Saccharomyces cerevisiae S288C: one gene and its partners. Changing the gene in region 1 together with any one later gene gives a genetic interaction. Each region holds a gene or a part of one and is shown on either strand. Other genes may lie near its edges. The genes, in order: ERG11, RER2, UBC7 and ARO7.

Evidence for each region.
Region 2: mutations in ERG11 (region 1) and RER2 are lethal when combined (synthetic lethality), as found in Saccharomyces cerevisiae (2 studies listed by BioGRID, with this or other methods).
Region 3: mutations in ERG11 (region 1) and UBC7 are lethal when combined (synthetic lethality), as found in Saccharomyces cerevisiae (2 studies listed by BioGRID, with this or other methods).
Region 4: mutations in ERG11 (region 1) and ARO7 together harm fitness more than expected from each alone (negative genetic interaction), as found in Saccharomyces cerevisiae (2 studies listed by BioGRID).

What each region holds. Positions count from the first base shown.
Region 1 is NC_001140.6:119,526-123,436, forward strand, and holds ERG11 (sterol 14-demethylase), read right to left. Parts: upstream 2,159-3,911; coding exon 566-2,158; downstream 1-565. Other genes in the region: YHR007C-A (uncharacterized protein), read right to left, coding at 3,025-3,240; superoxide dismutase SOD2, read right to left, coding at 3,364-3,911. UniProt on the Saccharomyces cerevisiae protein: Sterol 14alpha-demethylase that plays a critical role in the third module of ergosterol biosynthesis pathway, being ergosterol the major sterol component in fungal membranes that participates in a variety of functions.
Region 2 is NC_001134.8:241,203-244,176, forward strand, and holds RER2 (ditrans,polycis-polyprenyl diphosphate synthase), read right to left. Parts: upstream 1,367-2,974; coding exon 506-1,366; downstream 1-505. Other genes in the region: alpha,alpha-trehalase NTH2, read right to left, coding at 1-81; COQ1 (trans-hexaprenyltranstransferase), read left to right, coding at 1,607-2,974.
Region 3 is NC_001145.3:317,088-319,677, reverse strand, and holds UBC7 (E2 ubiquitin-conjugating protein UBC7), read right to left. Parts: upstream 999-2,590; coding exon 501-998; downstream 1-500. Other genes in the region: MSS1 (Mss1p), read left to right, coding at 1-241; MAC1 (Mac1p), read left to right, coding at 1,260-2,513.
Region 4 is NC_001148.4:674,259-677,569, reverse strand, and holds ARO7 (chorismate mutase ARO7), read left to right. Parts: upstream 1-1,938; coding exon 1,939-2,709; downstream 2,710-3,311. Other genes in the region: FCY1 (cytosine deaminase), read right to left, coding at 1-405; JID1 (Jid1p), read left to right, coding at 688-1,593; YMC1 (organic acid transporter), read right to left, coding at 2,896-3,311. UniProt on the Saccharomyces cerevisiae protein: Catalyzes the Claisen rearrangement of chorismate to prephenate. Acts at the first branch point in the aromatic amino acid pathway where it steers biosynthesis towards phenylalanine and tyrosine, and away from tryptophan.

The DNA of each region.
Region 1 (3,911 bases):
TTAGCGGTGCTTTATAAAACAATGGATACTAAGGATGGTTCAATTCACTCATCATTTGGATTTATCACTATAAAAAGCAGTAATGAATCTTATATACATTTATTTCAGTGAATCCATATTTAAGAGAGCTTCCTCAGTGACCCCTCCCCAAAACTCCTCTCCTCCTGGGCCCTCTCTTGATTAATTTAAATTGCAAAAAGATTTACAAGTTTGCGAAAAGACTGCTTTATTTCCGCTTGGCCTGTGAGCTGTGTGTTCTCTCTTCTAATCCAGTAGGCATGTTGCATAAATAAACCTTATATTTGATGTTGTTTTAGAAATGTAATCTATATATAATTTCGTAGTATAAATATTTATAAATAAAGAAGTGAAACCATACCACTCATAAATAATGCGGGATGGTTGTCCAAGTTTGAAAGTAACTAAAGAACATAACTCGATGTCATATCAAACGTACTGGCAAATAAAATAAATCATTGGAGATGGATGAGTGTGGCGATAAGGCCCACGTGAATGTACAACTTCTCTCTTTTTCTGTTTTTTTTTTTTTTCTCAGTTACAAACCTTAGATCTTTTGTTCTGGATTTCTCTTTTCCCAGATGATCTTGGCTGGACCGGTTGGAAGAGTAACCATAGATGTAAAGTCAGGAGGTGGAACGGTCTTACCCTCTGGGTAATGCCATTTTAATGTTCTGATAAAAATGGACATTAGAACACCTAGCTGACAGTAAGCAAAGTGTTCACCGATACATCTGTGTCTACCACCACCGAAAGGTAAGTATGGAGAGCTGACACCCTTAGAAATGGCACCGAAACCGTAATCGACTTCTTCACCGACGGAATAAGAGGAGGCAGAATCTTTGTTCCAACGGTGAATGTTGAATTGGTGAGCATTAGGGAAGTATTCGTCTCTTAAATGAGTGTAACCTGGAGAAACCAAAACGTGATAACCTGCTGGGATGACATAAGAAGTGTTTGGAACGTGCATATCTTTCATAACCTTACGGAACAAAGAGTGCAATGGATGGTGCATTCTTAGAGTTTCCTTAATAGTTTGGTTCAACAATGGCATTTCTTGTAATAAATCGTAGGTCAATTCCTTCTTACCACCATCCAAAACACGCATTTGTTCTTCGTACAATTCTTGTTGGACATCTGGTCTTTCAGCCAAGTGCAACAAAATCCAAGCAGAAGTGGCAGCAGAAGTATGTTGACCACCCATTAAGACACCAATTAACAAGTTAGCGATTTCTTGATCAGTCATCTTCACACCATCCTTGTAGGTAGAGTTCTTCATCAAGGAATCGATCAAATCTCTGTCTTGAATGTCGTTGTTCTTTCTTCTTTCCTTAATCAAAGACATGTAAGTACCGGAGATAGCCTTTTGAGCGTGATCTCTCTTTCTATAGTGTTCCAATGGTAAGTTAGGGAAGACGAAGTTGATTGGAGTGAAACCCTTATCCAAATCACTGTACAAGTAAGCAAAATCGGTATCCAATTTTGCTCTCATTTCCTTACCCAATAATGATCTTGAAGCGGTGAAAATAGTCATTTCAGGTTGAGTAACCATCACGTCAATAGTACCAGTAGTTCTTTCATTCAAACGGAAGTTTTTGGAGTCTCTGAAGTACTTGTACACTTCTTCAGCAATCAATGGAACGTAGCTCTTGAAGGCTTCTTTGGTTAGAGCACCCTTAACAAACTTCTTTTGCTCCATCAATCTAGAATTTGGACAATCGTAAATAACACCTTTACCGAAAACTGGAGTAGTCAAATGAGCGTAAGCAGCTTCTGCTGAAACATCTGCCAACTTAGCGTTGAAGACAAATTCGTGACCCTTTGGTCCTAAATACACAGTCATGACTCTTCCTAACAAAACGAATGAAAAAATATCACCGTATTTCTTTTGACATTCTTCGAAAAACTCGTATGGCTTCATACCGTACACAACAGCACTACCGACCCATGGAATCCAGTAAAACACTAGAGGTGGACGGTCCTTTCTCAAAGAATATAGTAATTGCCATACAATATTGTAAATGAAAGGAATTATTATGATCAAAGAGATTCTTTGGGCCAATGGTAAAGCCAAGAAATGACTTAAACCAATGTTTACGTATTCCAATGCCTCTCCAACGATTGACTTGGTAGCAGACATCCTTGTATTACTCGTTTGTTCTGTTTCTATTCAAGCCTGCTGCAATTGTGAAGGAAAAAAAATTTTTTCTGGAAACTATTAATTAATATAATGAAAAATTATTACTTCCTATCGAAAATACACACGCTGAACGATACTGCTTATCAATCTTTTTATAAATAATTTACCAATAACGAAAAGGGAAAAAGGAAAAGGGAAAAAAAAAAAGACATTGAAAGAGAGAATTAAGAGGGAATAAGAAAACTAAGGGAAAATACGCTATCTTATATAATGAATACACATGGAGGGCAATTTTTAGAGGCTTTTCGAATACATGCGAGTACGTAAACGTCGTTAACTCGTGGAGATGCACAATAGGATGTGCTCATACCAAGAAAAAAAAAAAATTCAGGCATAAAATCGATGTCTCCTGCAAGATACCTACCACACTTATTGTGTTCTGCAAGAGACTATTGTCATCTGAAAAGCGATTATCTTGAAATCTTAGTTTCGTTTCGTTTCGTTTAGGGCCAGCGCTTCGTTTGTCTCGTTTTTCGTGGATTATCGGCCTTTAAGATTGTCCAACCCGGCAAATCTTGCACGCACATTGTATGTGCGCTGCTCGTATAGTATCCACTTCGTGTGACATTACTATAATCGTACGGCTTAGTCGGGAATAAAGGCTGGCCTCATTTTCGTACAGAGACATTTTGCCGGAAATTTCGTATTTTGCTGTGCCCCCGGTAATTCCCGGGCGCGGCACAAAACCTCTCTAAACAACCGCCCATTGTTGCAATTGTTCGTCTGTACGGGACAGGCGGCGATCATAACGTCGCACGGTGCACAGCAATTGCCGTTTTCGGAGATCTCCCTGAGTAAGCAGTCGTTTACGACCTTAATGGCTTTACAATTATCGGTTGGAACAATAACAAGAACAATTGGTTCTCTGCCTGGTGGTGAGTTAATCTGGTGGGAATGTAGTGCACAGGCGCGAGTAACGTAGGAAGCGAGAGAGAACAAGGAAAAAGAAAAAGTGGAGGAAGGTTGGTTGTATTGTCTTTTTCGGTTCTTTTCTTTTCTTTTTTTCTTTTTTTACGATGCATGTATATGTATTTTAATAGTAAAATATATTATTAAATAGGGGAGTGTGGTTGTGTGATTTAGTAGAGTAGTTAGAATAAAAACGACACAGTGGAAAAAAAAAGGTATTTTCTTTCTTTCTTTCTTCAGATCTTGCCAGCATCGAATCTTCTGGATGCTTCTTTCCAGTTGACCACATTCCAAATGGCTTTGAAGTAGTCGGCTTTCTTGTTTTGGTACTGCAAGTAGTAGGCGTGTTCCCAGGCGTCAATGGCAACTAGAGGAACTAGTGGGCCTGTGACGGTATCCTGGTTGTAGGTTTGAACAACGTCCAGCTTGCCTCCATTAGAGAGGTTTTTCACAATGAAGGCCCATCCGGAGCCCTGCACGCCTGCTAGCTTTGTGTTGGTCAACTTAATCAGCTCGTCCAGACTGCCAAACTGCTCGTCGATTGCCTTTGCCAAAGCGCCGGTGGGTGGTTCACCACCGCCCTGCGACTCTGGAGCCAGGTTTTCCCAGAATAGACAGTGGTTTGTGAAACCACCGCCATGGAACTTGATGTTTTGTTGGATAGCAATCATTTTTCTTGCGTTTGCGGGAGAGGGCTCCTTGGCCAGAAGATCTGAGAGTTCTTGGAATTGGTCAACAGCAGTGTTGAATCCGTTCACATAAGTTTGATGGTGCTTGGTGTAAT
Region 2 (2,974 bases), on another chromosome or scaffold:
AAGTGGCTTTATGTTATCTTCACCATCATTACCTTCGGATGGAGGATTTATTTCCGTTACTTTTGGTAAAAAATCTACCATTATTTGAGTATATGCAGGTCTCCTTATATACCAAATGTCTGATCCGAACCTGCGTCAAATATATTTGCAAAGGAAAAATATAAATAAATAAATAAAATTGAGAAATAAAGAATATTAGTTTTAATGGAAAACAGTTCCTACAAGCGCTATAACATATGAAATATACATTAGTCGAATATTAACTTTGGGAGGTAATTACAATTCCTATCCGCTTTATATAATTTAGTGGAACTGGCACGCCGCTCGGAAAAATTGGACTTCAAATTACCCCGCGCGGAGATTTGCATTATAAACTCTATAAAGATGCGTGAATTTCTACTCATTTATTACTAATTATTTGAATGTTCTTTTGCGAACTCATTTATCTTGCTCATTACTCTATAAATATCTATGCCATGTGGTAGGAAAAAAATGCAGACCTTTCTTAATTCAACTTTTTTTCTTTCAAATCGATGGGGTCCCCATTGGTTTCCTCGTCATAATCACCTTCCTCTAATCTGTACTCTTTGTTTAAAAAGGATTTGTGAAACGAAAATTTTAATAAAATCCATGCCATCCGTATAGGTCCAAACTCTGGCCATAAACAATCCAGCAATTCGATGCGTACGCCCTTACTCGATGCCTGCCATATCAAAAAGTCACTTAATCTGGAAACGCCACTTGTCCTAATCAATAAATCTAAAGGGGGTACCCCCGCCGTGTAGAGATGCGATTCTAACGTGCTTTCGTCTATAGCGGCGCCCTTCTTATGTTGAACAATTGTTTCTTTCATGGCATGCAAGATTTCTTCCCTGCCTGTATATGGAAAGCAGATATTTAACGTGGCCCTTTTGTTGTTCTTTGTAGTTTCCACAGCAACCCGAACATCTTCTAATAGAGACTTATCCAACAAAGAGAGATCGCCGATAATTTTAATGCGTACCCCATACTTACAGGCCAGCTCTCCACGTTCTGTGATTTGTCGTATCCTTTCGCGCGCTAAAGTCATCAGTGATTCAACTTCCCGTGAGCTCCTCTTGAAATTTTCAATTGAAAAGGCAAACACGGTAGCCGTATCGACTCCTGCTTCATAACACAGTTCTAAGATTCTACTCATACTAACAAATCCTGCCTCGTGGCCCTCCTTTACGTCCATCTCTTTCTTTCTAGCGAATCTCCTGTTCCCATCCATGATGAACCCAACATGTCTAGGTACACAGTTAGATGCACGCAATGTGCGCGAAAAGATGTTTTTTGTCCACTTTAACACAAATGAATGACCAGGTATACCACTATCCGTTTCCATACCGTCTTTTACCTGTGTTTACCCTATTTTTACTGCTTAAGTTCTATTGAAACCTGTCATTATTACGAAAATTTTTTTTTTTTTCATTCTAAGCATTTTGTTGGCATCTTCGGAAAAAGCCCGAGCGAGGGTAACAGGGTTAGGGGATTAGAAGATTAAAGTAAGACACATTATAATCTATAGAGATTTTCTACAACACAAGAAGTGTGCCATTCAGTCCGAATTGAGTACAGTGGGACGATGTTTCAAAGGTCTGGCGCTGCTCATCACATCAAATTGATTTCATCTCGAAGATGCCGCTTTAAATCCTCCTTTGCAGTTGCTTTAAACGCTGCCAGTAAGTTGGTAACTCCCAAGATTCTTTGGAATAATCCCATATCATTAGTCTCGAAGGAGATGAACACATTGGCCAAAAATATAGTTGCCCTCATCGGGTCTGGCCATCCGGTGCTAAACAAGGTTACTAGTTACTATTTTGAAACAGAAGGCAAAAAAGTACGTCCCTTGTTAGTGTTGTTGTTGTCAAGAGCACTTTCTGAAATTCCCATGACAGAAAGAAATCACTTGAAAATTGACAAGTCGGATGTTCCTGAGGACCCAATTTACTCTAAACCTAGTCAAAATCAACTATTTCAACGTCCTGCAAGTAGCATATCCCCACTACATATTCTTCACGGTATTAAACCACTAAATCCCTTGACAAAAGGTCCTGAGCCTTTGCCAGAAGAAACTTTTGACAAACAAAGAGGGATTTTACCCAAACAGAGAAGATTAGCAGAGATTGTAGAGATGATACACACTGCGTCTTTACTTCATGATGACGTTATTGATCATTCTGATACAAGAAGAGGAAGGCCAAGCGGAAATGCTGCCTTTACCAACAAGATGGCCGTTTTGGCGGGTGATTTTCTCTTAGGGAGAGCAACAGTGTCAATTTCAAGATTACACAACCCCGAAGTCGTAGAACTAATGTCTAATAGTATTGCGAATCTTGTCGAAGGTGAGTTCATGCAACTGAAAAATACTTCCATTGACGCGGATATCGATACCATCGAAAATGGCCATAAGCTACTTCCGGTTCCTTCTAAAAAGCTTGAAGTTAAAGAGCACGACTTTCGTGTTCCAAGCCGCCAACAGGGGCTGCAATTATCTCATGATCAGATTATAGAAACTGCATTTGAATACTACATACACAAGACCTATCTGAAGACTGCTGCTTTGATATCAAAATCTTGCAGATGTGCTGCTATATTATCTGGGGCATCACCTGCCGTTATCGACGAATGCTATGATTTCGGTAGAAATCTAGGTATATGTTTCCAACTCGTAGATGATATGCTTGATTTTACTGTGTCTGGAAAAGATTTAGGGAAGCCATCCGGCGCGGATCTAAAATTAGGTATTGCTACTGCTCCAGTCTTGTTTGCATGGAAAGAAGACCCATCTTTAGGTCCACTAATTTCACGCAATTTTTCAGAGAGGGGTGATGTTGAAAAAACTATTGATTCTGTGAGACTCCATAATGGTATAGCGAAGACGAAAATACTAGCGGAGGAATATAGGGACAAGGCATTACAAAATCTACGGGATTCTCTTCCTGAATCTGAT
Region 3 (2,590 bases), on another chromosome or scaffold:
TCAATCAAGTGCCGATGCAAGTCCTGTCATTGTTTCCAAAAGAGTGTCAGAGATTCTCAAAAACGACGTACTGTACGGCTTGGAAGAGTTTTTCAAATCCAAAGATTTCCATAATGATATAGTATTGGCCACAGAAAATTTGAGGTATGCATCCGATGGAATAGCTAAGATAACAGGACAAGCTATTGGTATTGAGGAAATCTTAGATTCAGTGTTCAGCAAATTTTGTATAGGAAAATAACCTAGTTACAATCATCGTGTATATAAATAAAAGAAAATTGATTAACGCTTCGGTACAGAGAGGTGAGAGTAGAGGGGCCCCTGATTATACACCAACGAAATGGAAATGGTTTGAATTCCTGAAAAGCCAGGAAGACATTGAGATTTTAACATATTTATTATGTGACATTTGCTTTCTTTTAGATGGTAGATATGCTTATTTATGTATATAGAGAACAGTTAAAAGGAAGACCAAATGATCATTAACCTGCTACCTGCTTTCAGAATCCTAATGATTTCAAAATGGATAACTTTACCTGTCTCTCAAATTCAGGTCTATTATCTCTCCACAAGATGCAAGCATCAATGTTGGCACCACTTTCGATATTGGGCTCACTCAACATGCTCATAACACTTAATAGAATTTTTTCTACACTTTGCACTGGCGACCATCTTTCTTCCGCTAATTCGTACATGTTAGGATCATCACCAGGGGAGTGTAGAATGGATATGCACACTTCCCCATTTGGATAAATATTTGGATGTAGTATGCTGGGTGTGAAAGTAAGTTTAGGTGGAGATAACGGATAGTCTTTAGGAAACTCTAGCTTAGCATTAAAAACACCATCAGCGTATGGCGTATCTGGAGGCCCTTGAATTAGGCAGTCCCAAATGAATATGTTATTCTCCGATTTGGGACCAGCCACTATACCAGGTGGAGAATCTTTAATTAACTGTTGAAGCTCCTTGAGGAGACGTTTCTGAGCGGTTTTCGACATGCTATGCCCTTCCAAATTACACTATTACTAGGGAAGTTCCTTTTAGGATAATCTCCTTCGTACGCTAAACGCCAGAGTTTACTTTGGCGCTTTTCGAGCTCTTGGTTTAGAGGCTGTAATCTCGTTTTCGGGTAATGGCGAAAAGGAGTTATAAGAAGGATCTCGAGACAATAAGCTGCTGCATCTTCGTGAGGTAGATGCGATGAGGCGCCTTGTTTTAAACTTGAAACAGTCTGGTAAGTTCTTCAAGCTCTATCAGAGATGATAATATTTAATGGGAACAAATATGCGTGTGCATCGTGCATCAGAGGGCATCGCTCTTCAACATGCAGGCATTCTCACCGAATGCTAATTAAGGTGAGAACTAGAGGAAGACCTTCACCCATGGCTATCAGAGACGCTATTTTAGTAGACTCTACATCGCAAAGTACAGAATACGAAAATGGTGCACAAATTGAAGGTGACTGCTGCAGCGCAATGAATCAACAGCCAATACTGTTTGTACGTGCCTCTGCTGTTAGAAAGGCAAGAATGATAAACGGAAAATTGCATATATTAATGGAGGAAGGTTTCACTGCTCATGAGCCTAAAGATATTAGCACATTTACCGATGATGGTAACAAATATATCACCGAAACGGAGTTTCTTAGGAAACACTCTCCCAAAGCTCCGGCAACAGGAACAATATCTCCGGACTCTACCAAGTCATCTTCTTCAAGTGAGAAGAAAGAGCGAAGCCGGCTTCAACAGGAGCCTATACGACATTTTTCAAACTGCTGTAAGAAAGATAAATCACAGAACCCAGCTTCTAATGGCAAGACGAACAAGGCACCGTCTGATGACATATTTACGCCATACGGCTCCTTGGAATCTACGTCCGCTTTTAACGATATTTTACAAGAAAACTACAATAGTTCTGTTCCTGGTGCGCATGACAGTTCAGAAACACTCACCCCACAAAGTACAACAACGATTGCTGCTCCTCATTCAAGCGACGTTGCTTCGAAAGTTGAAGTCCTGACTCATAAGGGCATTTTTTTAAGCACGCAGTGCTCTTGTGAAGATGAAAGCTGCCCATGTGTTAATTGTCTAATCCATAGAAGCGAAGAGGAACTGAATTCTTATATTCAACAAAGTGGTGTTCCTTTAACCAATATTGGTGAAGCTCAAATTACTGATAAGATGATGGATTATTTGGATGATTGTAAATGCACTGACAAGGAATGCATATGTCCTCCGGATAACTGCACTTGTGATGGATGTTTTTCTCACTCTACAAATATAATTCCATTTGAAAAATTCTTTTTCTATGGAATTCTGAATGCAAGATTAACAAGGAAAACTCAAATAAAATTCAAAGGTAAATTGGTGCCGTCAAAATATTGGTGGGATTTTTTGAAGTTGCAAGTGCCATTGATGACAGATGCTCAGTTAGAATTACTTGACATTCATGCGTGGTTTCAAAAATTAGTCTCTAATTATGCACCACATCTAAGCGATGCCACCACTTCATAAAATCACGTAAATACAGATAGAAAACACATTGAGGCAACAGGAATGAAAATGCACCCTACTACTCTCTGAACCACCAT
Region 4 (3,311 bases), on another chromosome or scaffold:
CTCATCGTCAACAACAACAACCTCGTGACCTCTAGTTTGTAAATATTTCTCGCCCTTACTTTTGAAATTAACGTTCTCACCGACAACACAGCGTGGAATACCATACATGATGATGGCACCTGTACACATGTCGCATGGAGACAGCGTCGTATACAAAGTGGTATCTTTGTACACTTTGCCCTCTAATCTCCCACAGTTTTCCAAAGTGGAGATCTCACCATGTAGTGTGGCGGATCCCTTTTGAAATCTCATGTTGTGACCACGACCGAGAACACTTCCGTCTTTGTTATTGATAAGACATCCGCCAATAGGAACACCACCCTCTTTGTAACCTAAGGCCGCCTCCTCATAGGCAATGTCCATACCCTTCTGATCCCACTTGCTTGCCATTCCCCCTGTCACCATTAGCTATGAAATTTTTAACTCTTTAAGCTGGCTCTCATCAACATAAAACAATGGCTTGTAGATCTCATTGTCGAATTGAAAATGAACTTTTTAATTTCGCAAAAAAAAAAAGAAAAGTTCAGGGTCTCCGGGTACTACCGCCCCTGCAAGGAATGACCGGTGATAATGGAAGAGAAGATATTACAGCGACAGTATAATTAACAAACACGTTGTGTCTTTAGGCTCGTAACTAACTGTACGTATATCTACACACCATAGGTCACTACTTGCAATATATTTGTTATGCTACACCATAAGTTCGTATACCCATTTTTATTCAAGTGGCACTTATCATGTGTAGAAAAGTGTCCCCCACAAATCACTTTTATAGCTAAGTATGCTACAGCGAACGATAAAAATGGCAATAGAAAACTTACGATAAGGGATGAACAATGGCCTGAGTTGGCAGATCCAACTCCCTATGATATTTTTGGCATTCCAAAGGCCGGATCTGGAAATCCTAAACTGGACAAGAAGTCGTTAAAAAAAAAATATCATCGTTATGTAAAATTGTACCACCCTGACCATTCCGATAACATTCAAATATTTAGCTCAGAAAAGGTTACCAACAGTGATAGTAAATCACCGCTGCTGCTAACATCAAGCGAAAAACTACATAGATTTAAAGTCATCTCTCAAGCATATGATATTCTTTGTGACCCAAAGAAAAAGATCGTATATGACACAACGAGGCAAGGCTGGACCACATCGTATTCACCACGTTCTAACGTTAATACTGAAAATTACCAATATGCCGGCTCTTATGGCTACCACTCTAACGCGCAGTATGAATACTGGAACGCTGGGACTTGGGAAGACGCAAATAGCATGAAAAACGAAAGAATTCAAGAAAACATCAACCCATGGACCGTTATTGGCATAATTTGTGGCCTAGCTATATGCATCGAAGGGACTGCGTTGTTAGCCAAAATCCAGGAGTCTCTGAGCAAGGCCGAATTTACTCATGACGAAAGTGGATTACATTTGATTCAGTCATACACGAATTATGGTCTTGATACTGACAAATTTTCCAGATTGAGGCGGTTCTTATGGTTTAGAACTTGGGGACTTTACAAGTCGAAAGAGGATTTAGATAGAGAAGCCAAGATCAATGAAGAAATGATACGCAAACTGAAAGCAGCTAAATGAAATCACCTATTGCGCCGCTCGCGGAATACAATTACTAAATTTTATATATATTCTTTAAAAATGCATCTATACATTCGTTTTTCCACGTATACCAAATTCGAAAAAAGTTGTTAAACCATCGTTTTCACGTTTTTTAATTTTTTTTTGGTTCTCTTTTTTTTTTTTTTTCAATATCAACTTTTTTTCAAACTTCGTGTTGCATTTCCTTTATCGTAAATTTTCAATGGATCTCTATAATCTTCGAAGTTCGAAGAAAAGAAGAAAAAAAGTATTGAAAAGTTGAAACATCGATTCCGTTTTGCTAACAAATAGCACTCAGCATCCTGCATAAAATTGGTATAAGATATGGATTTCACAAAACCAGAAACTGTTTTAAATCTACAAAATATTAGAGATGAATTAGTTAGAATGGAGGATTCGATCATCTTCAAATTTATTGAGAGGTCGCATTTCGCCACATGTCCTTCAGTTTATGAGGCAAACCATCCAGGTTTAGAAATTCCGAATTTTAAAGGATCTTTCTTGGATTGGGCTCTTTCAAATCTTGAAATTGCGCATTCTCGCATCAGAAGATTCGAATCACCTGATGAAACTCCCTTCTTTCCTGACAAGATTCAGAAATCATTCTTACCGAGCATTAACTACCCACAAATTTTGGCGCCTTATGCCCCAGAAGTTAATTACAATGATAAAATAAAAAAAGTTTATATTGAAAAGATTATACCATTAATTTCGAAAAGAGATGGTGATGATAAGAATAACTTCGGTTCTGTTGCCACTAGAGATATAGAATGTTTGCAAAGCTTGAGTAGGAGAATCCACTTTGGCAAGTTTGTTGCTGAAGCCAAGTTCCAATCGGATATCCCGCTATACACAAAGCTGATCAAAAGTAAAGATGTCGAGGGGATAATGAAGAATATCACCAATTCTGCCGTTGAAGAAAAGATTCTAGAAAGATTAACTAAGAAGGCTGAAGTCTATGGTGTGGACCCTACCAACGAGTCAGGTGAAAGAAGGATTACTCCAGAATATTTGGTAAAAATTTATAAGGAAATTGTTATACCTATCACTAAGGAAGTTGAGGTGGAATACTTGCTAAGAAGGTTGGAAGAGTAAGCATGAAGGCTATCACGGTAACAATTCCACATTGCCGAGTGATTACTACGCATATATAAACACACACACTCACCATATATATGTACGCATAGTAGCATCTATTGAATATAAGAAGATAGAGTTTCAAGTTATACATTATATTGTACTATTTTCTTAAACGATGGCTCATAAATTCTATAGGAATTATCAACCCAATAACCTCATCGCTAATTCAAAAGTAGCAAAAGTGGCACCATTGGCGGGAGCAGCTCTTAGCATGGTAGGACCAAACCCTTTGAAAAAAGCGCCTATCCCTCCATTGGCATATAAAGTCTTGGCTACACTGGAAATAGAATTACCAAATTTAGGCTTTTGTAAATTATCCGTTTGCATGACAGACTTGATGACATCTAATGGATATACCATCAACCATAAGGCAGTGCCAGACAATGCTCCAAAAATACAAAGTTTCCATGCAGGAATGTCCTTTCTCTCTAGTCCACGTCTTTTGTTCATTTGGTTAGCAATCAACGCTTCATACACTAAGAAATATGTGCCACATCCATGACCTTCTCTCAATATTGTAGGTGTTAAACCACGTAGCAAGGCCTTGTTATGTCTTA